4 linked regions of the Anolis sagrei genome follow. The protein of the gene in region 4 interacts with the protein of the main gene of each other region in a biochemical or structural test. Links are inferred from orthologs where the notes say so. Each region holds a gene or a part of one and is shown on either strand. Other genes may lie near its edges. The genes, in order: PRKN, RAD23A, calpain-2 catalytic subunit and ATXN3.

The links.
Region 1: the proteins of ATXN3 (region 4) and PRKN form a complex in vitro, tested with the Homo sapiens proteins (4 studies listed by BioGRID and IntAct, with this or other methods). The link is inferred for Anolis sagrei from reciprocal best matches to the Homo sapiens genes ATXN3 and PRKN.
Region 2: the proteins of ATXN3 (region 4) and RAD23A form a complex in vitro, tested with the Homo sapiens proteins (2 studies listed by BioGRID). The link is inferred for Anolis sagrei from reciprocal best matches to the Homo sapiens genes ATXN3 and RAD23A.
Region 3: of the proteins of ATXN3 (region 4) and calpain-2 catalytic subunit, one has a biochemical effect on the other in vitro, tested with the Homo sapiens proteins (2 studies listed by BioGRID). The link is inferred for Anolis sagrei from reciprocal best matches to the Homo sapiens genes ATXN3 and CAPN2.

What each region holds. Positions count from the first base shown.
Region 1 is NC_090021.1:66,823,648-66,830,851, forward strand, and holds the start of PRKN (E3 ubiquitin-protein ligase parkin), read left to right. Parts: upstream 1-4,186; 5' UTR 4,187-4,412; coding exon 4,413-4,419; intron 4,420-7,204. UniProt on the Homo sapiens protein: Functions within a multiprotein E3 ubiquitin ligase complex, catalyzing the covalent attachment of ubiquitin moieties onto substrate proteins. Substrates include SYT11 and VDAC1.
Region 2 is NC_090022.1:162,469,966-162,477,754, forward strand, and holds the start of RAD23A (UV excision repair protein RAD23 homolog A), read left to right. Parts: upstream 1-4,771; 5' UTR 4,772-4,935; coding exon 4,936-5,007; intron 5,008-7,789. UniProt on the Homo sapiens protein: Multiubiquitin chain receptor involved in modulation of proteasomal degradation. Binds to 'Lys-48'-linked polyubiquitin chains in a length-dependent manner and with a lower affinity to 'Lys-63'-linked polyubiquitin chains.
Region 3 is NC_090021.1:38,504,412-38,511,502, forward strand, and holds the start of calpain-2 catalytic subunit, read left to right. Parts: upstream 1-4,076; 5' UTR 4,077-4,183; coding exon 4,184-4,420; intron 4,421-7,091. UniProt on the Homo sapiens protein: Calcium-regulated non-lysosomal thiol-protease which catalyzes limited proteolysis of substrates involved in cytoskeletal remodeling and signal transduction. Proteolytically cleaves MYOC at 'Arg-226'.
Region 4 is NC_090021.1:315,863,049-315,870,956, forward strand, and holds the start of ATXN3 (ataxin-3), read right to left. Parts: upstream 3,014-7,908; 5' UTR 2,945-3,013; coding exon 2,921-2,944; intron 1-2,920. Other genes in the region: NDUFB1 (NADH dehydrogenase [ubiquinone] 1 beta subcomplex subunit 1), read right to left, coding at 7,460-7,496. UniProt on the Homo sapiens protein: Deubiquitinating enzyme involved in protein homeostasis maintenance, transcription, cytoskeleton regulation, myogenesis and degradation of misfolded chaperone substrates.

The sequences.
Region 1 (7,204 bases), about 250 Mb from region 4:
AGGGCCTTCTCTGTGGGGTGCCTAACCCTATGTGAACGGGAAATGTGTACATGTCTGTCTGCACTTCCATCAGAAAGCCCATCCATTCTTGTTGTATGCTGGTTGCTGAGGCAACAACTCTATGTGGGTGAAGAGGACTGAGTGTGAGGCAAAATGTTCACACAGCCTACTGTCACCACCTATACTATAACAGCAAAACAACAATTTACTGGAATAGGTATAAGAGTCTTCTAACTCCTTTTCCTCAGAAAAATGCCAGAACAGGCGCCAAAACACCTTTTCCCGCTCTTTCTACACTATCAGCACAAAATCCCATAGAAATCTATGTATACTGGTGAAGGCAAAATGGCCGCCGCTTCTTTTTGAGGGGACAATAAGGCTGTCACAGTTCTGATGTTACTATAATAGGATGAACACAAAATGGCTGCCAAACTGTAAAAAACCCCTTTTGGCGCCAAATGCCCCCTTAAGACAAATAGCAGGTGCTAGCTTTGCCCTTTTCACTCTCTGACAGGAAACAAGCCTCCAATGTCTTTTAAAAGGGCAGGCAGGCAGCTTTTTTACTTTAAAAGCTGCCCCTAACTCTCCTTACTATAAAAGTATTCAATTTAGCAACACTTCACCCAAGTATTCCTATAACTTTGTTACACTTTCCAATGGAAAAGTGGAAACAGTGCCTTTTTCTCTCACACACCCTGAGGGAGAGGGCTCTCTCTTTTCTTTCTATAAGCGATCCGAATCGGCCACAAGGCCGATCAGGCTCCCAATCACTATGTAAACAGTGCTTTTTCTTCTCTCACACCCCCTTTGCAGGGAGTGGGCTCTCTCTTATAACTTTCTATAAGCAATTTGAATCGGCTACAAGCCGATCAGGATCCTAATCACTGTGATGGCACACCAGGGAGATCTAATGAAAAACCCAAATGTGTCTGGCTATTTTCCCAGTGACCATCGATATGCCCTAATTACTATAATTCCCCCAAAATAAAACTCTATAAACAAGATTAAGTTTAACCAAATTGAGTTTACTAAACAAACAAGATGAATTACAACAATGTACAAAGGTGAAGATTAATTATGATGGTATAACTGAGGTAAATATAACTATACACTATGGGGGATGATGTAACTATCTATCTATGACAAATATTATCTATCCTTTATTACATATATTATCTATAAACTATCTATCTAACTATCTATAACTATTCTATGGCAAATACAACTATCTACGAACTATCTATTATAAACTTTAGGGCAAATACTATCTATAAGGCAAATACGTGTTATAAACTTTAAGGCAAATACGGCTATAACTATTCTATGTATATTACTATTTATCTATAAGCTTTGGCAAATACGTGATTAGGATGGCCTGTTCAAATTGCTTGGCCAGACCAGACACTATCTGGCAACTATCTATAAGCTAAGACTGACAAAGAATGGGAAACGAAGTTCTATAACCAGCCCATTCTGGCTCTGAGTCAGAATGGGCTGCACCAACCGAACTCGGCCTCTAGGGGAACCTAAGCTCTCCCCTAAACTTGGTAAAATGGAACAGTCCAACTGAGAAATAAACAGGCCGAGACATCACAGTGCCATTTTGATCTCTCTGGGGCCGGTATTCCAAAGCATTTCAAGCTGCATTATATGGCAGTGTAGATCCAGCCTTTTTCTTCCATGGCTATATACTGTGGCATCATGGAAGTTGTAGCTGCAGGTCTTCAGACTTCTCTGCCAAAGAGCACGGGTTCTCCATCAAACTACAGCCTTCCAGATTACCTTGCATTGAGCCATGGCATTAAAGTGGTGCCAGACTGCATTAATTCTACAATGTGTTGATGCAGCCCATCTTAGGACCTAAGGCTAAACACAAAATCCATGTATATGTCATATACACCTGTTGAGTTTTATTAATCTTATATATAACTGTCTAAGGTTCTCAAAAGCATTCATTTTGATTCTTCATCATCCTGTATCCCGGTTTACATCATCATAAGACTCTGAGCTATAGTCAAACTATTTGCATTGAATTTAGACTATAGAATAGATGGAGAAACCAGGGAAAAATAATTAAACACTTGAACATAGTGAGATATAAATATTCAATAGTATTCTCATACGTTTGTATTATGTAAAGAGAAATCAAGGGTGGAGATTCACGGGTGGAAATGAGGAGGTCGTGGGACTGAGGAAATAATACTTGTATTTCAATTGTTTCTATGTATGTATACATATTAAAAATAAAAAAATCTTAAAAAATATACACCTGTTGAAAGTGCAGTATGCTTTAAAGAACTGATTATTATATATGTACACAAGATGAATATAACCAAACATACCAAAACAATTGCATTTTGCCTTCTGCTTCTTTTCCTTTCACTAGTATATTGTTTTAAATTTTGATACAAGAAAATTACACTTTAAAAGTTCATTGCAAAGGCATTCAAATATTTTAGAAGTAAGAACTAGGTTGCATAATTTTCCCCCAATTTTTAGGCACCCTGATTAAAATTATCATCTGTAGGTCTAATGCACTCACAAATGCTTTCATTATTCTAATTTAGTACATGTTTTGCATTCATCCTTTATTTGTTCTTGAGGCTGACTTCTGGAGAGTAAATCTCTCATTGCTGCCTATAAATATAGTCACTGACCTTCTCTCCCTTGCTGTCTAACATCACTTTTTATATTTACACATTTGCTAAACTTGGGGACCAAAGAGAATGTGCTTTTTTCTCTCTTGCAAAGTGTGTTCCTATAAATAATGGACAGGGGGATGAATGATCAATACAAGACAATAAATGGTTAACAGTTCAACAATCTCCACAGAGTTGCTGTGAGTTTTCTGGTCTGTATGGCATTTTGCCGAGACGTCTATGGCAGGCATCCTCAGAGGTTGTGTGGTCTGTCAGAAATTAGCCAGATTGAGGTTTATATATCTGTGGGGCTGGGGGTGGTAACAGCGGACAGGGAGCTCTGGCGAAGGCTGGTCCATGAAGAATCGGTCCATGGAAGTGACTGAATGAATAAACAACAACATATCTGTGGAATGCCCAGGGTGGGGGGAAAAACTCTTCTTTGTTTGAAGCAAGTGTGAATGTTGCAGTTGGCCACCTTGATTATCATTTAATGGCCTTGCACCTCTGAGGATGCCTGCCAAAGATGTGGGTGAAATGTCAGGAGAGAACGCTCTGAAACACGGCCATACAGCCTGGAAAACTCACAACAACCCAGTGATTTTGGCCATGAAAGCCTTTGACAACTCAGTATCCACAGAAATGTATGTATTGTTTAATGGTAGCCATGCAGAATATTTTAAGGCGAAATAAATATACCCATACTGAAGAAGAGTTGTTATAATGATTGAGGATGCATCTGCACAGTTGAATTAATGCAGTTTGACACCACTTTACCTGCCACAGCACAATGCTAGGAAATCCTGGGATTTTTAGTTTAGGCAGGCACCAGCTTTCTTAGGCAAAGAAAGCTAAAGACCTTGTAAAATTACAGATACCACCACTCAATAGTATGCTATAGAGCTGGCATGGAAAAACTCTGGCCCTCTGGGTGTTTTGGACTTCAACTCCCACAATACCTAACAGCCTCAGCCACTTTCCTTTTTTACTAGTTAACGTGGCGTGACTCTGCATAAATTCAACAGTGTAGATGCATTCTTAGTCACCTACAAATTCCACCTGAAATTACAATTTTGTGTAAGGTGTTCAAATGACACCAGTGAGCAGCAATGCAATCACTGATCACATGGTCGAAGCACAGAATTGCAAACGTTGCATAAACGTTTTGCTTTGATTTTGGCAATATATTTATGTATATGTGTGTGTGTGAATATATATATATATATATATATATATACACACTGAAATATTACTTTTTAAAGGTATATACATTTTTGGTAAAATGTTTTTTTTTAAATCCACAAATGTTATAAAAACAGACTTCTACAACTGGAAGACAACACAAGAGACAATCCCCAAGGCTGGTGCAACATTGTGAAAATAGATAAGATTGAAACATAAGTTGCTAAGGATGTATAGAAAGCAACCTCTCCCCTCCTTTCCTTCTATTGAACAGGGCCAAGCAAGAGGCTGCTGTCTCCACGCGCCGTGACGTCACCCACAGGCGGGGGGGGGAGGTAGCTCTGGTCACGTGACACACACCCTTACCTACACACACTACTCATTGAATTCAGTAGCTGGAAGAGGTGAAGGCGCGGGCAAGGCGGCGAGAACTACGTTTCCCAGAAAGCACTGCGAGGTTCCCCGCCCCGCCCCCGCCAGCATTGCGTCTAAAGTCCGGCCGGCCTGCAGGGAGCGTAGTCTTCAGAAGGTTCAGACTTGAGTGGCGGAAAGGACGGGGGTTGAGAGCGCCCCCTTCTCCCACCGCTGGCAATGATAGGTGAGTGGGACCCGGATGCAGCGTGTGTTTCCCCCTCCCCGTCCCCTTCATTGGCTCTCTCCTAACAGAAGGAGGGGGATCTCAGGGAAGCAGAGGCTGGTCTGCTCCAAAATACTTTTCTCATGTTGAATAATCTAAAACACTTAATTCCTAGGCGCACATACAGGGTGTTCCTCAAAATTGTATACACTTTTAGCAGATCATAATTCTATTTTTGGCATTCCCCTCCCCCCCAAGTATACCCCTTTAACAGCTTGGAATTTTGGGATTTCTTTGCATTTTTAGAGCCAAAATATATGTCACTTTAACAACTTGCAATTTTGGATATTTTTTTTACCCTTTTCCCCCCAAAAAACATCTATTCCCTTAACAGTTTATAATTCTGGATTTCTTTTTCATTTTTTACAAAGAGATGTACAGCCTTTAACAGTTTACAATTATAGATTTATTCCAACTTCCTTATAAAACATACATTCTGAAAAGTCTAATTCCAGTTCTTTTTTTTTTCCTTTGGCAATCCCCTTCCCAACATTTTAAAAAAATTCTCTGCCACCCCTACCCCAAATATATAAAAGATCCCAATACAGGTTGTCCCTGAGTTACAAACATTCGACTTACAAATAACTTGTAGTTAAGAAAGGGGCTGAGAACAGAAAGTGAGAGAAATCTACCCCTAGAAAGGGAAAATCACTCCTGAAATTTTTGAAAAACATACATATACAGATAACTGTGAGCAACAGGATCATAGATAAATATATTGCTAGAGAAGACTTGAAGAAGGTTGTCATTTCCAACATGAAAGAGTCATCATGGGGAAAGGGAGTCTCCACTGAAGCTTTCTCACCAATCCTTGTTTCCACAACAAACCAAATGATCCAAAATCCAATGGCCACAGAGACAGAAAGGGAGGGAAATCTTCTGAACAGGGACACAGATAGTAAAACAAACTCCACAGGATTGTTAACCCTTCTCTATATTACCCATCTATACACACACACACACATATACATACACACACATATATATATATTATATATGTATTTATAACATTTTCTCACCCGGGAGGGGACTCAAAGCGGTTTTCACATAGGTAATGGCAAAATTAAATGCCAGCACAAACAATTACAATTATACAATTACAGTTAGACATAAATCAAATTAAAATACATCCATATACACACTCTACACAAACGCACATGCACAGCTGGAATTACACTTTAAAAATGTACCTGTTCCAATTTGTAACTTGGGCACTGTAGAAAGGTGTTGTGCAATTATAAACAAAACATTAAGGGAAGTTGGCAGCAATGTACTTTACAATGTGAACAGTTGAATGGCTGCACAGGAATGACAAATTTGAACATATTACCATACAGTGGTAATAAATCATTATTGTAATGTTTATACGTCAATATAAAGATATTTCCTTAGCCATAAAGCAGTCATAATTACTAACTGTGAAAAGTTGTCTACATTTGGGGAGGGGCTATCAATCTATGTATACACACACACCACTTTGCCAATTCTACAGGATTCCAATATTATTTAGGTGCCTAAATATAGTCAGCAATCCATATCCACAAATTCTGCATTTGCAGATTTGACCAGCCATGGCTTGAAAATATTAAAAACAAAAGACATGTATGGGACACAACTTTACTGTATATAATAGGACTTGATCCAAGCCCTAGTGGAGACCACGGGCTCATTGTAATCTAAAGGCACCCAAACACATCTGATCTTAGAGGCTAAGTAGGGTCAGGCCTGATTAGTACTTGGACAGCAGATCATCAACAAATACCAACAACTGTAATCTGTACCAATATTTCAGAAGAAGGAATGGACAAACCCACTTCTGAGTACTCCTTGCCTATGAAAACAGTATGTTATTCATAAGTTGATTAAAAGCAGCATACACATAAGTGGTAATGTATACAGTATTGCCTTAGGCTCTATTCAGAGGAAAGCAATGGAAAACGCTATAAAATTTATGGGATTTCCATAAGTTTACAGGCAACACACACAAAGATATCCAGGTATCTCCAGATACTGCACTGTTCAACTTAAGGGAATGTATCTTATGAAGAAAAACCTTTTCTTTTCATTTTCAAAGTAGAATATCCCAATACACTGCAGCCCTCAAGCTTTCTGATGCTACTGCTTCTTCTGTGCTGGCAGCACAGCTGCTTTTATTAGAGGCCTGCAGATAATCTACAGGTGATGGGGATGAAGAATCGATACATACCAACCCTGTTTCCCTTCCTAGGCCCATAGGACAATCAGTTTAATTATTTGGAAATATTTTGTTGATCAGGGCTTCTTAAACCTTTTCCTCTCACAACCTTTTTAACGTAAGATATTTTTATATGAGCAAGTAGGTATATAAATAGGCATACAAATCAATCTTTTACTGATAAGAAATCAATATCTGCATGGCTTTCTAAACAGAATGATTTTCTTGTTTCTGGAGTATAGCTGAAGCATTTTCTGCAGAGTCCACTGTAAACACTGCACATTGTTGTTAACAGAGTTGCAGAAATGAATGGCATCCAGCAACCTTCTACTGTTGCCAATTTTTCCTGACCCCAACATTGAGCAAAGGGGATCCCGTTTGGGGTCAAGACCTATAATTTAAGAAGCAGTGTTCTAGATTATCGGATCTGCCTTTTAGCTGCATTTTGTTTCAATCCAATAGGTGGGCCTTCATGAATCACATATAAATGATGTGACTAAAAGCCCTTCCACACAGTCCTATATCCCAGAATATAAGAGCAGAAAATCCCAT
Region 2 (7,789 bases), on a different chromosome or scaffold from region 4:
AGAATGCCTCTAGACCATGGCCATATAGCCCGAAAAAACCTACAACAACCCACTGTTATCAGTATGCTGATGACACCCAAATGTATTTCTGCATTCCTTCCAAAACTGATTTAGCTAAGGATTCTGTGTCTCCACAGAACGAATGCCTGTAGCAGGTAATGGGCTGGATGAAGAAAAACAAATCCTGACAAAACAGGTACTTGCCATCAAGCTGGGGGATGGAAGTTTGTCAGTTCTGGATGGAGTTACACTCCTGAAAGACTGCTTGCAGAATCGTAGAGTTGGAAGAAACCTCACAGGCCATCCAGTCCAACCCCCTGCCAAGAAGCAGGAAATTTGCATTCAAAACACCCCCAACAGATGGCCATCCAGTCTCTGTTTAAAAGCCTCCGAAGGATCCTGGATCCATCTCTCCGAATTTCAGTGCATGTAGATGTGGCAGTCAGGAGTATTTATTAGCTTTGGCTGATACACCATCTGTGCTCCTTCCTAGATTTAGAGGACCTAAAGATGGTAGTGCATGCACTGATGACCTCATGTTGGACTTCTGCAATGTGCTTTACAATGGGCTACCCTTGTACCAAATTTGGAAACCAGCTAATTCAAGATGCAGCAGCCATCTAGGAGTGAACATATCACACCTATCCTAAAGTCACTCCACTGGCTGCCAATTAGTTTCTGGGAAAGTACAAGGTTTTGATCTTTAAAGCCCTACATGGTTTGAGTCCAGGTTACATAAAGGATCACCTTCTCCCATACAATGCACCCCACACACTTTGGTCTTCTGTGGGGCGTCTGCTCCAACCAGCTAGAACTCAACTGGCAACTACCACCCAGAGGATCTTTTCGTCAGCCGCCCATGACTGGAACAACCCACCGGAAGAACTAACAGCTAAATGAGCTGTCAGAATTTAAAAACCATGTAAAGACCTATTTTTTCTGGCAAGCCTACTCAATCTAAACATGAATGTTAAGTGTCCTTTGTTTGATCTCTGTTTTGTGTGTTTTAGTATGTAATTGTAGATACGTTTTGGTGTGTAATTTTTATGAAGGTTCATTTTAGTGTTTTTGCTGTGTATTTTAATTGTTTTGTAACCTGCCTTGAGCCATAAGGAGAGGCGGGTAAGAAGTATTATTATTATTATTATTATTATTATTTAATGCAGCTAAACGTAGACTTGTATAACATGGTCAGTGGAGTTCAAACTGCAGAATATGGCAGTCTTTGATAGTTGTCCATTGCAGTTCTGAGACAAGATTTTATTTATCATGTCAGAAGGAATTGAGAATACAGTTATAATGTATGAAAAACCACAAAGTTAAAACTTGGCATTATACTTAATTTCTTTTGACCAGAAGCTGGCCACTTTGAGTGCCTTCTGGTGTTGCTGTGAAAAGACCCTCCACTGTGCATGTGGCAGGGCTCAGACTGCATTGTAGTGAGTGGTCTGTGCTTTGCTCTTCTCCACATTTACATGTCATGGACTCCACTTTGTGGCTCCATTTCTTAAGATTGGCTCTGCATCTCGTGGTGCCAGAGCTCAGTCTGCTCAACACCTTCCAAGTCGCCCAGTTTTCTGTGCCTAGGGGGGAGTTTCTCATCTGGTATCAGCTGATTGAGATTCTGGATTTTAACCTGCCACTTTTGGACTCTCACTTGCTGAGATGTGCCTGCAAGTATCTCTATAGATCTTAGGAAGCTATTTCTTGGTTTAAGACTTGGTTATGTTGGCAGATATCTGAACAGAGGCTGGGCCGAAGATGTCGATGCCTTGGTCATTTCAATACCAGCTGCTACTTCTCAACAGATGTCAGGTGGTACAATATAGTATAATTTTCTAGCGATGTTGGGCATAGACATCCTATGATAATGTGGCATGTCTAATTAAGAGCCACATCCACTGTTTTAATGTGGTGGGATATACAAGGGTTGGAACCTTAATAGTGGCAACACTGCTGTAAAGACGCCATGCAACAAAACCAAAGAATGTCGCGTAAACCACGTTAGTTACATACCTACCTTAACTCTGAGCAAAAAGACTCGCCCTTCCTACATCATGCGCATACGGAGTGACACGAAGAACTGAGCCTCGAATTAGTTTACGGTCTAATAAGTGTCGTCACGATGTTTTCTAAACAAGAACAACAGAGATGGATAAAGATTGAATGTGCCAGAGGTCGTACAGCACGACAGTGTCATCAAGGTTTTCAAGAGGCTTGCAGGGAATCTGCATTGCCTTATAGAACAGTGGCAAGGTGGGTAAAAGCCTTCAACGAATGATGCCAAAATGTGGCAGACATGCATTGGTCAGGTCATCCTAGTGTCAGCAAAGCAGAAGTGAATGCTGTTGCTGCACTTGTAGACAGTGATCGACACCATACAATTCATGAGCTGGCCCAAAACACAGGATTTGCGCATATGACCGTACAACCTCTGGCACATTCAATCTTTATCCAACTCTGTTGTTCTTATTTCAAAAACATCTTGTCAACAGTTACTTTAGACTGCAAGCTAATACAAATCTCAGTTTTTCACATCACTCCACATGCCCGTAATGTAGAAATGGTGAGTATTTTTGCTCAGCGGTAAGGTAGGTATGTAACTAATGTGTGGTATACGCAACATTCTTTGGTTTCGTTGCATGGCGTCTTTACAGTAGTGTTGCCACTATTAAAGTTCCAACCCTCGTATTGCACACTGGGCTGGACATGTCAATGCTCTGGTCCTTTCGTTACAGTCTGCTATTTTCTGGCGGATGTCAAGGAGCCACCACCACACTCCGGGGCAGAGAGTTCCACTGCTGAACAGCTGTCACGGTGAAGAAGTTCTTCCTAATATTCAGATGGAATCTCCTTTCTTGTACAGGGTGAGGCAGCATAACTTCCTTTTTTAAAATGCGTACCATTCAGTCGGTTGAAGATGTGGTCTTGTTCGAGAGGCGGGAGTATAAATTTTTGTCCTGACACAGTTCAGTCGGCATCATGCGTTGGGACAGTGAGGAGCGTGCTTTTGCCATTGAGGCCTACTTTTCGAGCGGATTTGGAGTGGCCGGCCCGCTCTCCAGATTTGGCCCCTTGTGATTTTTTTCTATGGGTTTTTTGAAATCCCGTGTTTATGTGAACCGTCCAAGGACCCTACAAGATTTGAAGACCAACATCCAGGAAGAAACTGCCAACATAACGCCTGCTATGCTGGCAAGAGTCATGACAAAAGCCAAAAATCGGTTTACTCAGTGTATGGAGAATGGGGGACGTCACCTACCTAATTTGATCTTCAAAACTATGTAAAACAAAACTTTAGGTAGGCGCTTACATTACAAAAAAATAAAATAAAAATTCTGATTCATTCAATGGGTTTTATTAAGTTTTGAAAAAAGGAAGTTATGCTGCGTCACCCTCAAGTTTGAAGCCATTGCTCTGCGTCCTAGTCTTCATGACAGCAGAAAACAAGCTTGCTCCCTCCTCCCTATGACTTCCTCTCACATATTTATACATGGCCCTCACCATGTCTCCTAGAATCAAAGAGTTGGAAGAGACCTCATGGGCCATCCAGTCCAACGTCCTGCCAAGAAGCAGGAATATTGCATTCAAATCACCCATGACAGATGGCCATCCAGACTCTGTTTAAAAGCTTCCAAAGGAGCCTCCACCACACTTTGGGGCAGAGAGTTCCACTGCTGAACGGCTCTCACAGTCAGGAAGTTCTTCCTCATGTTTCTTGTAGTTTGAAATCATTGTTCCACGTCCTAGTCTCCAGGGAAGCAGAAAACAAGCTTGCTCCCTCCTCCCTGTGGCTTCCTCTCACATATTTATACATGGCTATCATATCTCCTCTCATCCTTCTCTTCTTCAGGCTAAACATGCCCAGCTCCTTAAGCCGCTCCTCATAGAGCTTGTTCTCCAGACCCTTGATCATTTTAGTCGCCCTCCTCTGGACACATTCCAGCTTGTCAACTTCTCCCTTCAATAGTGGTGCCCAGAATTGGACACAGTATTCCAGGTGTGGTCTATGCAAAGCAGAATAGAGGGGTAGCATTACTTCCCTAGATCTAGACACTAGGCTCCTACTGATGCAGGCCAAAATCCCATTGGCTTTTTTGCTGCCACATCACATTGTTGGCTCATGTTTAACTTGTTTTCCTCGAGGACTCCAAGATCTTTTTCAGACGTACTGCTCTTGGGCCAGGCATTGTCCCCCATTTTGTATCTTTGCATTTCGTTTTTTCTGTCTAAGTGGAGTATCTTGCCTCTCAACCTTCTCTTCAGGCTAAACATGCTCAGCTCCATAAGCCGCTCCTCATAGGGCTTGTTCTCCAGACCCTTGATCATTTTAGTCGCCCTCATCTCTCTTCAATTGTGGACTCCAAAATTGGACACAATATTCCAGGTGTGGTCTAACCAAGGCAGAATAGAGGGAGAGCATGACTTCCCTAGATCTAGACACTATGCTCCTATTGATCCATTGGCTTTTTTTGCCACCGCATCCCATTGTGGGCTCATGTTTAACTGGTTGTTCATGAGGACTCCCAAGATCTTTTTCACAGCGTTCAGAAGAGTCCCCTCAAAGCGCTGAGGTGCAGCTTGCAGTCCCTGATCAATCCCTATGGTTGGAAGAGCGGCTCCAAAGCAGTGGCGGGAAAAAGGAGGCCCGTGAAGATTAACCCCCGCCCCCTCCCGCTGGCACACCACCCGGAAGTCAGACTCCCTCCTCAGCCTCCGACTCTATGGTCGTGAGCCACGCGCGTTGCCCCATTCGTCCTTCCCGCGTCACGTGGGGAGGGCCTGGCGGGCAACGGAAGTGGCGCCAAGGGGCGATTAAAATGGCGGCGGCGTGAAGTTGCATGTTGTGGTGGGGGCCCCCGCTGAGTCCGTTGGCAGGAACCGCCCGTCTTCGCCGCCGCTGCCGCCGCCTCTTGGGCCTTCGCTCCCGCCGCCATGGCGGTGACCGTCACCCTCAAGACCCTCCAGCAGCAGACCTTCAAGATCCGGATGGAGCCCGAAGAGACGGTGAGCTCCCTCCCTGCCTGGCGCCCTTCCCGAATTAGCCCTCCCGCTTCCACGGAACTCACATTGGGTGATTTTATTCTCCATGGTGCAGTGGGTTAATCCCTTGTCCCAGCAGGACTGAAGACCGACAGGTCGCAGGTTCGAATCCGGGGAGAGCGTGGATGAGCTCCTTCCGTCAGCTTCAGCTCCCCATTGCGGGGACATGAGAGAAGCCTCCCACAAGGATGATAAAACATCAAAACATCCGGGCGTCCCCTGGGCAGCGTCCTTGCAGACGGCCAATTCTCCCACACCAGAAGCGACTTGCAGTTTCTCAAGTCGCTCCTGACAGGACAAAAAAATATTCTCCACTAGCCGTCCCTTGCCACACGTTGCTGTGGCCCACATAGGGGAGGTTTGGCCCAATTCTATCATTGGTGGGGTTCAGAATGCTCTGCGATTGTAGGTGAACTATAAATCCCAGCAACTACAACTCCCAAATGTCAAGATGGGGGTCACCCAAGATTATCAGGAAACATAATATTTTCTGTTGGTCATGGGTATTCTCTATGGGAAGTTTGGCCCAATTTTATCATTGGTGGGGTTCAGAATTGTAGGTGAACTATATATCCCAGCAACTATAACTACTAAATGTCAAGGTCTATTTCCCCCAAACTCCACCAGTGTTCACATTTGGGCATATTGAGTATTCATGTAGTTTGGTCCAGACCCATCATTGTTTGAGTCCACAGTGATCTCTGGATGTAGGTGAACTACAACCCCAAAACCAAAGGACACTGCCCACCAAACCCTTCCAGTATTTTCTGTTGGTCATGGGAAAACTGTGTGTCAAGTTTGATTCAGTTCCATCGTTGGTGAGGTTCAGAATGCTCTTTGATTGTAGGTGAACTATAAATCTCCGTAACTACAATTCCCAAATGACAAAATCAATTTTTTTGAGTGAAGGACATACATTGGGTTGTTAGGCATATTCTGTCCAAATTTGGTGTCAATTCGTCCAGTGGTTTTTGAGTTCTGTTAATCCCACAAACGAACATTACATTTTTATTGATATAGATAGGAGCCCCCGGTGGCGTAATGGGTTAAACCCTTGTGCCAGCAGGAGACTGACAGGTCGCAGGTTCAAATCTGGGGAGCGCGTGGATGAGCTCACTCCGTCAGCTCCAGCTCCCCATTGCGGGGACATGAGAGAAACCTCCCACAAGGATGATAAAAACATCAAAACATCCGGGCGTCCCCTGGGCAGCGTTCTTGCAGACGGCCAATTCTCTCACACCAGAAGAGACTTGCAGTTTCTCAAGTCGCTCCTGACAAGACAAAAAAATATATATTCTCCATAGTATTTATTTATTTATTTACCGTATTTGTATACCGCCTTTCTCAGCCTATCAGTGACTCAAGGCGGTTTCCAACAAAACAGTATACATAGTATCATAATACAATTTAAAACATTAAAATTACATAAATCACACAACAAGGCTGATCTGGCCGGGGTGGTCCATGCCTTGGTCACCTCTAGATTGGACTACTGTAATGCGCTGTATGTGGGGCTGCCCTTGAAAACGGCTCGGAAATTCCAACTGGTCCAATGGGCGGCGGCCAGGTTGTTAACTGGTGCTCCTTACAGAGAGAGGTCAACCCTCCTGTTTAAGGAGCTCCGTCTGATGTCCTTGGGGAGAAAGTTCCCCAAGGAGCTTGTCTGATTTCAGGAGCTTGTCTGATGTCCTTGGGGAGAAAGTTCCAGAGTCGGGGGGCCATTCATTTTCCGGTCCCAATTCAAGGTGCAGGTGCTCACCTACAAAGCCCTAAACAGTTTGGGACCTGCCTACCTGCGTGACCGCATCTCCGTATATGAACCCACACGATCCCTCCGTTCATCTGGAGAGGCCTGTTCGCGATCCCACCTGCGTCGCAAGTGCGTTTGGTGGGGACGAGGGACAGGGCCTTCTCTGTGGTGGCCCCCCGACTCTGGAACTTTCTCCCCAAGGACATCAGACAAGCCCCAATGTTGGCAGTCTTTCGGAAGAGCTTGAAGACCTGGCTGTTCCAGTGTGCCTTTCCAGAATAGGAATCTCCCAGTATCATGTCCCAAACGCACTTTACTAGAGATTTAAGATTGCCTGCACATCGCACCTACCCTAAAATCCTTACATTTCACCTGTCATGTCCAGCACTTTTAATTTTAGTCATTACATTTGGCCCGGCCCTAGTTTTAAATGTGTTATGATGTATTGTTTTTAATGTTTTATTGCTATTGCTTTTAATGTTTATTGGTTTGCTTTATGAATTTTATTGTTGTACATGTTATGCTGTTGTTTTATTGAGAGCCTTGGCCTTTGTAAGCCGAACCGAGTCCTTCGGGAGATGTTAGCGGGGTACAAATAAAGTTAATATCCTCCTCTGGACTCATTCCAGCTTGTCAACATCTCTCTTCAATTGTGGTGCCCAGAATTGGACACAATATTCCAGGTGTGGTCTAACCAAGGTAGAATAGAGGGATAGCATTACTTCCTTAGATCTAGACACTATGCTCCTATTGATGCAGGCCAAAATCCCATTGGCTTTTTTTGCCGCCACATCACATTGTTTGCTCATGTTTAACTTGCTGTCCACAAGGACTTCAAGATCTTTTTCACACATACTGCTCTCGAGCCAGGCATCCCCCATTCTGTATCTTTGAACTTTTTTTCTGCCTAAGTGGAGTATCTTGCATTTGTCACTGTTGAACTTCATTTTGTTAGTTTTGGCCCATCTCTCTAATCTGTCGAGATAATTTTGAATT
Region 3 (7,091 bases), about 280 Mb from region 4:
ACACCTGCAAGAGAAGGTTGCAGGTTGTTATTTCTGGATTTCAGATATTTCTGGAGTTCACAGGAAATTTCAGCACAATGGTATAATTACTGTGGAAGGCGGAATGACCTTTGCATCTTTTCTCCAAAAAAAGGGCTACAGGAGAAAAAATATTCAGATCTCCCACAGACAGTAAGTAACAACAAACCAATGCACGAAACCAGGGGTGTCAAACTCATTTTCACTGAGGGCCAATTCAACCTTCAAAGGGTTATTGAATCAACGGACAGAGAATCTATGGATACAAAGGGCCAACTCTCTCTCTCTCTCTCTCTCTCTCTATCTATCTATCTATCTATCTATCTATCTATCTATCTATCTATTAGTCTGTGCTCTTTAGGTTTTACTCAGTTTGGGTCCCCAGATGTTACTGAATTACAACTCCCATCAGTTTTTATTATCGTCAATGTGAACTGGGGATAATGAGAATTGCAAAACAACAGGACTTATTTCTCTGAGGTTGGGAGAAGGTTAAAGGACATTTTAAAGTCAGACATCACATCAACAAGCCTTGTATCTGAATTCAGACCCAACTATCCTGACTAAACAAGACAAACTGCAGCCTTCAAAATAATAATAATAAGTAATAAATAATAAATAATAATAATGGTGATCCCAGTGATCGGCACACTGGATGCAGTGCCTAAAGACCTTGGCCTGCACTTAAATACAATCGGCGCTGTCAAGATAACCATCTGCCAGCTGCAAAAGGCCACCCTACTGGGATCTGCATGCATTATTCACCGATACATCACACAGTCCTAGACACTTGGGAAGTTTCCGAAGTGTGATCCAATACAACAGCCAGCAGAGTGATCTTTTTTGCTGTGGACTCATCTTGTTGTGTTTCAAATAATAACAATAGCACTTTATTTATATTCTGTCCTTCTCCTTGAGGGAATTCAGAGCGGATTACAGCATATAAACAGACACAGGCAAACATGCAATGCCTTGTTACAAAGGCATACAATGAAACACAAATACACAAAGACAAAGGCTTCTCCTTTCATTTCCAGCTCTGGAGGCAGTACTCATCTCTGGCTCTGAGAGAGGTGTTCATTTCCATTTCCAAGCCGAGGAGCCTGCATTGTCCATGGACACCTCCTGGTCATGTAGCCGGCATGACTGTACAGAGTACCTGTTTTTCTTCCTGCTGAGGCATTACCTAGTGACCTACCCACATTTGCATGTTTTTGAACTGCTAGGTTGGCAGGAGCTAGGGCTAACAGCACGAGCTCACCCTGTCTCGCAGATTCAAACTGCCAACCTTCAGGTCAGCAATTCAGCAGCACAAGGGTTGACCCCATTGTGACTGTACTGTATCACAACTCCCATCAGCCGTGGTCATCGTGTCTAATGATGTGAAAAACAGGAATTGTAGTCCAGCATCTGGAAGGCCACATAAAATGACATGGAAGCCCACAAACCTTGGATTTGACACATGTACATTAAATATACTCATTGGAAAGATGGACAGAGATTCTAACCAAATGGGTGCCAACCCCATCAACTTCCAGCAGCATTCAAAGAAAGCTGAGCTTTGCCTTTTGTGGCTGCCCTAAAAGTTAAAGATTTCTGATATTATTTATTCATTAAAACTATTTGTTAAGCATTTTCCTACCTGCCACAGCTCTCAGACTACTGGGAAATGAAATGAAAACATGGCAGTAATGGGATAGTATATCTGCTTACAAATAGGTAAGTAAAGCTTTCAAACAAGGAAGTTACATTACTCCTTGTGGGATGCCTTCCATAAATTTCACTCATTTATTTCCGATTCTTACTTTCTGCATTCACTTTTTTGGGCTGTCCACATGGTGGCTATCCAAATCCTTCTATTCCTCCACTCACATTTTTTCTTCATAGTTATTCCATCTATTCCCAGAATGCAGAAAGTCCAGTTTTTTTAAAAAGGAGAAAGTTACCTACCTTGGTCCAAGAAGGAAAAATAAAAATAAGAATTCTATATGACTCAAATGCTAACTAACACACAACATGCTTTATACATAATGTTATGAAATGTAAGCCCATTATACACTGTCATATAACATCCATCTTATCTGCTTTGAACTGGATTATATGGCAGTATAGACTCATATAATCCAGTTCAAAAATAGTATGGATTATCCGATTTGATAATCTGGATTATATGGCAGTGTAGAAGGGGTTGTAGTGACATAGAAGTGCCCAGACATTGCACTTGTGTTACTGTGTTACTGCCTGAGGGGAAAGTCCATGTATCTCTTATCTACAGTATATGAAAACATATAATAAATAGCCTGAAAAAACTCCAAAAGAACCTTTTTTTCCCCATGTAAATATACTGGAACACCAAGATTTGAAAATATGTAAGTATATTGTTGAAGGCTTTCATGGCCGGAATCACTGGGTTGTTGTAGGTTTTTTGGACTATATGGTCATGTTCTAGAAGCATTCTCTCCTGATGTTTCACCTGCATATATGGCAGGCATCCTCAGAGGTTATGAGGTTGACCCTGATACCCAAATGCCTGGTCCCAGAACCATGACTTCAGCTTCTTCCTAAAGGAAAGGAGAGATGGAGCTGACCTAACTTCACTAGGAAGCATGTTCCAAGAGCGGGGAGCCACCACCAAGAAGGCCCTGTCTCTCATCCCTGCCAAACGCATTTGCGACAAAGGCGGGACCGAGAGCAGGGCCTCCCTGGATGATCTTAAACTCCAAGGTGGGACATCCATAGCATTGAGCCATGGCAGTTAAGTGGTGTCAAACTGCATGGTGTACCTTTAATCTGCCATGGCTCAATGCTATGGAATCATGGGATTGATAGTTTGGGGAAGCACAGCAGCACTCTTTGGCAGGGATGGCTAAAAACCTTGCATAACTACAACTTTCAAAATTCCATAGCAGCTATAGTAGAGGTCAAATTACATTACTTTCACAGTTTGCCATAGCTGACCCCCCAGTGGTGCAGTGGGTTAAACCGCTGAGCTGCTGAGCTCGTTGACCAAAAGGTCGCAGGTTCGAATCTGGGGAGCGGCATGAGCTTCCGCTGTCAGCCCCAGCTTCTTGCAACCAAGCAGTTCAAAAACATGCAAATATGAGTAGCTCAATAGGTACTGCTCCGGCGGAAAGGGAACAGCACTCCATGCAGTCATGCTGGCCACATGACCTTGGAGGTGTCTACAGACAATGCTGGCTCTTTGGCTTAGAAATGGGGATGAGCACCACCCCCAGTTGGACATGACTGGACTTAATGTGAGGGGAAAACCATTGTTCTGTGAGGCACTATCCCTTTTTGCCTGAGAAGGCTGAAGACCTTAAAGCAAGCATGGGCCAATTTCGGCCCTGGAGGTGTTTTGGACTTCAACTCAGAATCTGCTTCTTGGAGTTCCTACCAAGATCAGGAAAATTACATTCAAAGCACCCTCGACAGATGGCCATCCAGCCTTTGTTTAAAAGCCTCCAAAGAAGGAGCCTCCACTATACTCCGAGGCAGAGAGTTCCCCTGCTGAACAGCTCTCACAGTCAGGAAGTTCTTCCCAATGTTCAGATGGAATCTCCTTTCTGGTAGCTTGAAGCCATTGTTCTGTGTCCTAGTCTCCAGGGCAGCAGAAAACAAGCTTGCTCCCTCCTCCCTATGACTTCCCCTCACATATTTATATATGGCTGTCATGTCTCCTCTCAGCCTTCTCTTCTTCAGGCTAAACATGCCCAGCTCCTTAAGCCGCTCCTCATAGGGCTTGTTCTCCAGACCCTTGATCATTTTAGTCGCCCTCCTCTGGACACATTCCAGCTTGTCAATATCTCTTGTCAATTGTGGTGCCCAGAATTGGACACAATATCCCAATAATCCCACAATTCCTAAGAGGCTTTGGGAATTGAAGTCCAAAACACCTGCAGGGCCAAAGTTCGCCCATGCCTGCCCTAAAGTCTCCAGGATAATTCCACAGCATTGCGCCAGGGCAGTTCAAGCGGCATCAAACCGCATTAACTCTCCAGTGTGAAGGCATCCGTGAGGGCACCTCCCCGCCCCAGGCGAGGAGATTTCCCCTCGTTGCGATGAATCACCATCCGGCTGGGAGGGATTCTTCTCTCTGGACACTTGGCAGAGGAGTTGCAGCTGAGGGCGGGCATTCCTCCTTCGGCCGGGGCGAGCCACCATCATGTCTGGGATCGCAGCGAAAGTGGCCAAAGACCGGGCGGTGGCCCAAGGGCTGGGCTCCAACCAGAAGGCGGTCAAGTACCTCCGGCAGGACTTCGGGGCGCTCAGGGACGAGTGCCTGGAGGCCGGGAAGCTCTTCCAGGACCCCTCCTTCCCCGCCGGGCCCCCCGCCCTGGGCTTCAAGGAGCTGGGACCCCACTCCGCCAAGACCAAGGGCATCGTCTGGAAGAGGCCCACGGTAGGAGGGAGCAAGGGAGGGAAGGGGCCGGGAAGGAAACTTTTGGGGGCACACCTCCATTCTGTGGGATCCTGGGAGATGGAGTTTGGAGAGGCACCAGCCCTCTTCCGCAGAGAAGGATAAAGAACTCGAGTAGACTACATGTTTGTTTTGTTTTGTTTCTTCGTGTCAGGAGTGACTTGAGAAACTGCAAGTCGCTTCTGGTGTGAGAGAATTGGCCGTCTGCAAGGACGTTGCCCAGGAGACGCCCTGATGCTCTGATCTTTTACCATCCTTGTGGGAGGCTTCTCTCATGTCCCCGCAAGAGGAGGCGGAGCTGACAGAGGGAGCTCATCCGCCCTATCCCCAAATTCGAACCTACAACCTGTCGGTCTTCGGGGCTCCTAAAGACCTGGTGAAAATATAGCATTGAGCCATGGCATTTCAAATGGTATTAATCCTACCAGGAATGGGCAAACTTGAGCCCTCCCTTCAGGTGTTTTGGACTTCAACTCCCACCATTCCTAACAGCCTCAGGCCCCTTCTTTTTTCCCCTCAGCCACTTAAGGTTGGGCCCTCCCTCCAGGTGTTTTGGACTTCCCACCCTCCCTAATAGCCTCAGGCCCCTTCCTTTTCCCCCCTCAGTCACTTAAGCTTGGGCCCTCCCTCCAGGTGTTTTGGACTTCAACTCCCACCATTCCTAACAGCCTCAGGCCCCTTCCTTTTCCCGCTCAACCGCGTAAACTTGGGCTCACACTCCAGGTGTTTTGGACTTCAACTCCCACCATTCCTAAAGAGCCTGCGACTGTTAGGAATTGTCTTCAAGCCACTTCTGACTTATGGCAACTTATGAGGCTGAGAGTGTGTGACCTGCTCCAAGTCACTTTGTGGATTTCCATGGCCAAATGGGAGAGGAAATTGTAGTTTTTAGTGCACAAAGCACTCCAGGCAGTCCTCAAGTTGCGACCAAGTTATGTTTTGTAGGTTTGTTCATAAGTTGAATTTGTATGTAATTCGTAACAGGTAATTTTTTAAAAGTGTATCTCCAGCCAAAAATATACATACATTTTAGCTTTGGATTGCATAGGGAAGGTTTAACATCCCTGTGGTGTTTGTTTTGCTGTCTGCCTCCCTGTTTAGAAGATTTCACCTCACTTTCTGTCCCTTTGATGACTGGATCTTGAAAAATTGGACTTGTGGAATCAAGGGTTGGTGATAGCGTTTCAGTGGAGACGCCTTTTTCCTATGATAATTTCCCCTGGTGGCCCAGCGAGTTAAACCACTGAGCTGCTGAACTTACTGACCGAAAGTTTGGCATTTCGAATCTGGGGAGCAGGGTAAGCTCCCGCTGTTAGGCCCAGCTTCTGCCAACTTCTGCCAACCTAGCAGTTTGAAAACATGCAAATGTGAGTAGATCAATAGGTACCACTTCTGAGGGAAGAGAAGGGCGCTCCATGCAGTCATGCTGGCCACATGACCTTGGAGGCGTCTACGGACAACTCTGGGTCTTCAGCTTAGAAATGGAGTTGAGCACCACCTCCCAGTCGAACACGACTAGACTTCATGTCAGGGAAAACCTTTACTTTTATTTTTAATTCTTTCAGGAGTCAAGTTCCCTTCTTAGGGGTAGATTTATCTTATTTCCTGTTGTTTCACCTCCATTCTTAACTATGAGTCGTTTGTAAGTAGGATGTTTGTAACTTGTGGATTGTCTGTAGATCACACTGTCTTGCCTATTAAATACCCATTGTTTATTTGTTTGTTTCTGTGCCTATCAAGTTCCCTCACTATTACATTTATTTTTCAGTATTCAAACTATGTATCTATCCATCTATCTATCCATCTATCTATCTGTCTATACACACATATACAGACACCACACACATGACACACAACACAGTGGGACTAATCTAGAAGGCTTGAAGACTATTCATTTGTGTACTACAGGTATTACAGAATCGGGGAATGTTACTTTTTGAACCACCACTCTCCAGGTCAATATGGAGTAGAATCATAGAGTTGGAAGTGACCTCATGGACCATCCTGTCCAACCCCCCCTGCCAAGAAGCAGGAACATCAAAATGTCTTGGATTACAAACACCATAATCCCTAACTAGCTTTGGCAGTGCACTGGAATGGTGAAATATGCCCTATATCAGTGCTTATTAATGTATAGAAGTGACTTCTGCAAGATGTTTTGGAACCAGGATATGTTAGCAAGCGTTAAAGATGTTTTTCCAGCTTGACCACTTGCAGCTACCCAGCCATCATAAAATACTCAACTTGCTTTGAACAGGAAAAGTTTAAAAGGCCTAAAACAGGAAAGGTCAATCAGTAAAGATTCTTATCTGTCCACATAATAATTTAGAGATAACAAGCTAATCTTACAGATTTAAAAATCTGATATTTATATAACTCTCCAGATGCTACTAGACTCAAACTCCCAATTGCCGTATCCAGTATAGTAAATACTGAAAAACAATGGTCCAACAATATTCAAGGAGCTAGAGGTTTCCACTTATGTAATTATTATTATTATTATTTGTTTAAAAATCTTACTAGTTGCTTTTCTGCCCATTAAAGCCCATTCCACACAGCTGAATAATATCCCACATTTTCTGCTTTGAACTGGAATATATGGCCGTGTGGACTCAGATAACCCAGCTCAAAACAGACATATTGTGGGATTTTC
Region 4 (7,908 bases):
CAAATCCTGCAAAAATGTCCTTGGAAGCACTTTTTTCCTGCTAGTAATCATACGTTGTCCCCCGGATCTGCTATCCTGACAGTTTACATTGCTCCCTCAACCAGTGTTTTTAAATTTTTAATTCTTTGCAACTGGCCCTGCCCACTGTGATTAATTTTCTGTGTTCAAGTGTTCTGATTTTATATTGTTTGATGTGTATATTTGTATTGATTTTGTATGTTATTTTTTCTGTTGTATATTGCTTTATTGTACTACTAGCCATCCCCTGACATGCGTTACTGTGGCCCACATGGGGGTTCTGTGTGGGAGGTTTGGCCCAATTCTATCGTTGGTGGGGTTCAGAATGCTCTGTAATTTTACGTGAACTATAAATCCCAGCAACTACAACTCCCAAATGTCAAGATTCTATTTTCCCCAAACTCCACCAGTGTTCACATTTGGCCATATTGAGTATTCGTGGAGAGTTTGGTCCTGATCCATCATTGTTTGAGTCCACAGTGATCTCTGGATGTAGGTGAACTACAACTCCAAAGTGGAATCCTCGACATGCGAGTGTGGAGAAGAGCAAACTACAGACTACCTGCTGCAATGCAACCTGAGAGCCCTGCCACATGCACAATGGAGGACCTCCTTGCGGCAACACCATAGGCACTCCAAGTGGCCAGATACTGGTCAAAGGACATTTCATTAACTACCAAGCTTGCAAACTTTGTTTTTTATCTATTTGTTTTGTTAAAAATGTAATACAAATGTCTGGTTGCTCCTGACACGATAAATAAATAAATAACTCCAAAACCAAAGGACGCTGCCCACCAAACCCTTCCAGTATTTCCTGTTGGTCATGGGAGAACTGTGTGCCAAGTTTGGTTCAATTCCAACGTTGGTGGGGTTCAGAATGCTCTTTGATTTTAGGTGAACTATAAATCCAAGCAACTACAACTCCCAAGTGACAAAATCAGTTTTTTTGAGTGAAGGACATACATTGGGTTGTTAGGTGTCTTGTGTCCAAATTGGATGTCAATTCATCCAGTGGATTTTGAGTTCTGATAATCCCACAAACAAACATTACATTTTTATTTAAATAGACTAGCCGTCCCCTGCCACGCGTTGCTGTGGCCCAGTCTGGTAATCTGGAAAATAAAGTAATGTGAAAGTGTGGGTTTCTAATATATGTAATTTCTTGTTGTTTCTTTGTCAGTGTTGATGTGTGGATGGTCTGGTTTGCCTACTCTGGAATATGGAACATAATTGTCCTTCTTTAGGGGTCCCTGTCAAATCTATGATCTCTGTGTGTGTGTGAATCATATCTATCTATCTATATTTATGCCTGGATAGCTCTTTGTCAGAAGGGCTTTGATTATGTATTCTTGCCCTGGTGAAGGGAGTTTAACTCGATGGCCTTAAGTATATTCTGTTGGTCATGGGGGTTCTGTGTGGGAAGTTTGCCCCAATTCTGTCATTGGTGGGGTTCAGAATGCTCTTTGATTGTAGGTGAACTATAAATCCCAGTAACTATAACTGCCAAATGTCAAGGTCTATTTCCCTCAAACTCCATCTGTGTTCATATTTGGGCATATGGAATATTCGTGCCAAATTTGGTCCAGATCCATCATTGTTTGAGTCCGCAGTGCTCTCTGGATGTAGGTGAACTACAAGTCCCAAACTCAATATCAATGCTCACCAAACCCTTCCAGTATTTTCTGTTGGTCATGGGAGTCCTGTGTGCCATATTTGGTCCAATTCAATCACTGGTGGAGTTCAGAATGGTCTTTGATTGTAGGTGAACTATAAATCCCAGCAACTACAACTCCCAAATGATAAAATCATTTTTTTTTTTTTGAGTGAAGGACATACATTGGGTTGTTAGGTGTATGCTGTCCAAATTTGGTGTCAATTGGCCCACTGGTTTTTGAGTTCTGTTAATCCCACAAACAAATATTACATTTTTATTTATGTAGATTTCTATCCTGCCCTTCTCCTCCTGAAGGCGAACTCAGGTGAACTATAAATCCCAGCAACTACAACTCCCAAATGACAAAATCAAAAAAATTTGAGTGAAGGACATACACTGGGTTGTTGGGTGTCTTGTGTCCAAACTGGGTGTCAATTCGTCCAGTGGTTTTTGAGTTCTGTTAATCCCACAAACAAACATTACATTTTTATTTATATAGATTGGACTTGGCCTCATGTAAACCACCCCAGGTCCCCTTGGGGAGATGGTGGCCGGGTATAAATACAGTTTATTATTATTATTCCTCATGATTCAGCTCATGTTCTTTGTATCCAGCAGGTATTCAAGTCACCATCCACCCCACAATTACCTGTCTAATTACTTTTCACTTCTAACGCTGCGATTCTATGATTGTAAGAGTGATATCATGACAGATGTCAGTGAAGTGGAGCAAGCAGGTGGACCAGTAGCAGAAGCTCCCATGCCAGGGTTGTGATTAAGTGTCTGACAAAACAGGGCTGAGCCCACACACCCTCCTCCTCCTCCTCCTCCATGTTGAGACTCATACTTCCCTATTTGGGACTCACTGCCACCAGCAAGAACTCCACCCATTTCTACAATGTAGATCAGGCATGGGCCAAGTTGGGCCCCCCAGGTGCTTTGGACTACAACTCCCACAATTCCTAACAGCCGTAGGCTGTTAGGAATTGTGGGAGTTGTAGTCCAAAACACCTGGGGGGCCCAACTTGGCCCATGCCTGATGTAGATACAGCTTTCCCTCCTTCCTCACAACATTAACTTCGGTCCCCGAGTAGGAGGCTTCCCCGGAAGGCCTCCAGCTCTCTGCCTCAACTTCCAGCGGGAGCGACAAGCCCTCCTTCCTTCCTTCCTTCTTCCGAGAAGACAAGGAATTGGCTTCTCCCGCCTCCCTGCCGGATCCCGCGTGGCCCCTCCAAGGCGCCCACTCACCCTCTCGTGAAAGATGGCCTCCATGTTTATTTGTCTCCCCACCGACACCAGCCTCCGCGCCACGTGACGGAGAGTCAGCCAATCGCAACAGGCTCCGTCCCTTCGACCAATCACCGCCGCTTCGTCATTCGAGGCTGGGCTTTACCTCACCCCGCAACCTATCTATGAGCTCAACCCATACGTCAAAGAGAGGATGCTAAGGAGAGCGTGCTCTGTTTTACCCACACTTCCGGTTCCAATTGACAACATTTATTTTATATATTTAATTCATGCCCTATCCCGAGCTCTGAAGATCACCTGGGAAGGAATCCCACTGGAGCATGGCAGCGCACCCAAATACCTGGGAGTCACTCTGGACCGTGCCCTGACCTACAAGAAGCACTGCCTGAACATCAAGCAAAAAGTGGGTGCTAGAAACAATATCATACGAAACCTGACTGGCACAACCTGGGGATCACAACCAGATACAGTGAAGACATCTGCCCTTGCGCTATGCCACTCTGCTGCTGAGTATGCATGCCCGGTGTGGAACACATCTCACCACGCTAAAACAGTGGATGTGGCTCTTAATGAGACATGCCGCATCATCACAGGGTGTCTGCGCCCTACACCACTGGAGAAATTACACAGTCTAGCCGGTCAAAGCCATGGTATTCCCTGTAGTAACCTACGGATGTGAGAGCTGGACCTTAGGGAAGGCTGAGCGAAGGAAGATCGATGCTTTTGAGCTGTGGGGTTGGAGGAAAGTGCTGAGAGTGCCTTGGACTGCGAGAAGATCCAACCAGTCCATCCTCCAGGAAATAAAGCCCGACTGCTCATTGGAGGGAAGGAGACAAAGTTGAAGTACTTTGGCCACATCATGAGGAGACAGCAAAGCCTAGAGAAGACAATTATGCTGGGGAAAGTGGAAGGCAAAAAGAAGAGGGGCCGACCAAGGGCAAGATGGATGGATGGCATCCTTGAAGTGACTGGACTGACCTTGAAGGAGCTGGGGGTGGTGACGGCCAACAGGGAGCTCTGGCGTGGGCTGGTCCATGAGGTCACGAAGAGTCGGATACGACTGAACGAATGAACAACAAAAGCCGGTATAGCAACCACCTGACATCCGTCGGGAAGTAGCAGCCAATAGTGAAAGGACCAAGGCAGTGACATCTCCAGCCCATCCCTTGTTTGGGTATCAGCCAGCACGTCAGCGACTTAAATCAAGAAATAGTTTTCTCAGTTCTACAGAGACACTCGCTGGAACACCCCAGCAAGCAAGAGTCCAAAAGTGGCAGGTTCAAACCCAGAACCTCAATCAATGGCTGATACCAAATGAGAGACTCCCCCCTGGGCACACAGAAGACTGGGCGACTTGGAAGGCACTGAACAGACTACACTCTGGCACCACGAGATGCAGAGCCCACCTCAAGAAATGGGGCTACAAAGCGGAATCCACGACATGTGAGTGTGGAGAAGAGCAAACCACTGACCACCTGCTGCAAAGCAACCTGAGCCTTGCCACATGCACGATGGAGGACCTTTTTGCGGCAACACCAGAGGCACTCCAAGTGGCCAGATACTGGTCAAAGGACATTTAATCAGCTACCAAGTTTGCAAAATTTGTGTGTTTTTTTAATGTTTGTTTGTTTTCTTCTGTTAGAAATGTAATACAATGTTCTGGTTGCGGATGACACGATAAATAAATAAATATGGTGTATTGTTTATAGTCTATTGCTTGATGTTTTTGATTTGCTTTATAATGTTATGTGTATTGTTATGTTGTTGTCTTTTATGAACCCACGCGTTCCCTTCGTTCATCCGGAGAGGCCCTGCTCGCGATCCCACCTGTGTCACAGGCGCGTTTGGTGGGGACGAGGGACAGGGCCTTTTCTGTGGTAGCCCCCCGACTTTGGAACACCCTCCCCAAGGACATCAGACAAGCCCCTACACTGGCAGTCTTTAGGAAGAGCTTGAAGACCTGGCTGTTCCGGTGTGCCTTTCCAGAATAGGAAACTCCAGCAATATGTCCCAGAAGCACTTTATCAGAGAGTTAAGATTGTCTGCACATTGCACTTACCCTAAAATCCTACATGTTACCTGTCATACTCAGCACCTTTTAATCTGTACCCATTACAATCGGCCCAGCCCTAGTTTTTAATTGTGTTATGGTGTATTGTTTATCGTCTATTGCTTGATGTTTTTGATTTGCTTTATAATGTTATGTGTATTGTTATGTTGTTGTCTTTTGAGGCCTCTGCCTATGTAAGCCGCATCGAGTCCTTTGGGAGATGCTAGCGGGGTACAAATAAAGTTAATAATAATAATAATAAATATGTAATTTCTTTATGCTTGTGGGTAAACAGTATTGCTTGCTGTTTCTTTGTCAATGTTGATGTGGAGAGTGTCTGGTTTGCCTACTCTGGAATATGCAACATATCTTTAAGGGTCTCTTTAAAATCTATGATACTATATCTGTGTGTGTGTCAATCATATCTATCTATCTGTATGGCTGGATGGCTCTTTGTCAAGAGAGCTCTGATTGAATTTTCTTGCAGTGAAGAGTTGGACTGGATGGCCTTAAATATTTTCTGTTGGTCATGGAGGTTCTGTGTGGGAAATTTGCCCCAATTCTGTCGTTTGTGGGGTTCAGAATGCTCTTTGATTGTAGGTGAACTATAAATCCCAGTAACTACAAATCCCAAATTTCAAGGTCTATTTCCCCCAAACTCCATCTGTGTTCATATTTGGCCATATGAAATATTTGGGTCAAGTTTGGTCCAGATCCATTTGGGTCAAGTTTGGTCCAGATTTGAATCCACAGTGCTCTCTGGATGTAGGTGAACTACAACTCCCAAACTCAAGGTCAATGTCCACCAAACTCTTCTAGTGTTTTCTTTTGGTTATGGGAGTCCTGTGTGCCAAGTTTGGTTCAATGCCATAATTGGTGGAGTTCAGAATGCTCTTTGATTGTAGGTGAACTTTAAATCCCAGCAACTACAACTCCCAAATGACAAAATCAAAAAATTTTGAGTCAAGGACATACATTGGGTTGTTAGGTGTATGCTGTCCAAATTTGGTGTCAATTGGCCCACTGGTTTTTGAGTTCTGTTAATCCCACAAACGAACATTACATTTTTATTTATATAGATTTCTATCCTGCCCTTCTCCCCCTGAAGGGGGATTCAGGGCGGCCTCACATAAGCATCATGTGATGCTGTCAGCATATAACAATAAGGAATACAGTAAAAATCATTAATTCTGCAGGAGGCAGCAACCGGATTTTAAGTGGATTTTTTTCTCTAGTATGATGAGGCCCCCGGACTTCAACCCACACAATTCCCAACAGCCTATTGTCTATTAGGAATTGTGGGAGTTGAAATCCAAAACAACGGGAGTGCCCAAGTTTGGCCATTCCTTATTTACATTGTCGAATTAATGCATGATTTCTTTTCCTACTGCCTTCTACTTTACTAGGCACAATTGTCTTTTCTAATGAGTCATGTCTTCTCATGATACGTCCAAAGTACAAGTTTAAGTCTAGTCATTTGCTTTCTAGGGAGCGATCAAGTTTGCTTTGCTCCAAGACCCATTTATTTGTCTTTTTGGCAGTCACAGAACTCTTCTTTGGCATGACATTTCAAATGAGTAGACATAGGCTTTCCTCACTGTTCAGCTTTTACAATCATATACAGAAGAAAATACAATGGTAAGGACAAAGATTACAAAACACATCATCCTCCTTTCCTAAATGCCGAAGGAATAAGGGACAGATTAGAATACCTCCTTCATTATGTGTTTTTTTTCCTTTTTGAAATGAAATTTTAGTAATGGTTAATTAGGTCTTCAAAGCTCCATTATGCTTCAGAGATACTCATCTGGGTAATAATAATAATAATAATAACAACAACAACAATAACACTTTATTTATATTCTACTCTTATCTCCCTGAAGGGACTCAGGGTGGATTCCAAACAAAAAATGCAAACGTCCAGTGCCCTATTTCTGGTATTCCTGATATCTGCAGTGTTTTCTTCTAGCAAACAAATGAGTTTTAAAAGCACTAAGAAATTTTAAAAAGCTGACAAAGTTTTAGAGGTGTATATTTTCCCCTCTCACTGATTTATATTCCTATGTAGAATGCCTTGTAAAACAAATGTATAACTAAAGCTATTTATATTTCCACTGCCAGCACTAAATAGATATATTTTAATGCATTTGTTTGTTAATATGCAGCAAAGTATAAAGTTTTGGGAGAGAGAATTTCAAAACAAAACATCCAAATACTTTTTAGGCTGGTTGTCATCTTCTTTTTATTTAAAGGTGGAAAAAAGATCTCATGTGTATGTCCCCAGAGAAGAAATTCCAGAAATACAAACTTTAGAATTTTACTCTAAAGAAAAATGAATGCAATGACATTCATTCATAACTGGAAAAAATGTTATGTGTTTCTTCTTAAAAGTAACTTCTTAAGCTCCTGCTAAAGTCATGAATTTAATAGATGGCCCGGGACTAACAATTTTTGTTTCACTCAATGACACGATCATTTCATTTGAAACATTATTTCCATGTGACTTCTTCTCCAGGTTTCAATTCCCTGTGAAAATGAAAGAAAGGATTATCAAATTAGGAATGTTGTCTTTCCAGAAAAAATTGTTCACATTTAAAAGTACGGTATATTCTGCTATGCAACTAGCAATTTTGGTAACAGATGGGAAAAAACTTCACCACAAGTCTTCACTTTTATGCTTTTTTGAACAATATTTCAAATAGTAATAAAGATGACAATTTATTTTTAAAATAATATGTTTGTAATTTTTTGTACTCAAAATCCCTAATTGGATATATGGCCTGTTCCCAATATTTTTTTTGAATAAATAAAATAAAGATGTTCAGCGCTCTTCAGTTACATTTTCAAAATAATTTTGGTTACTAGAGCAATAGAAGACATCATCTCCACCACGTTCAAGCTAACAGTAAAAACAGGAGTAGAAACATGGCCCACTGGC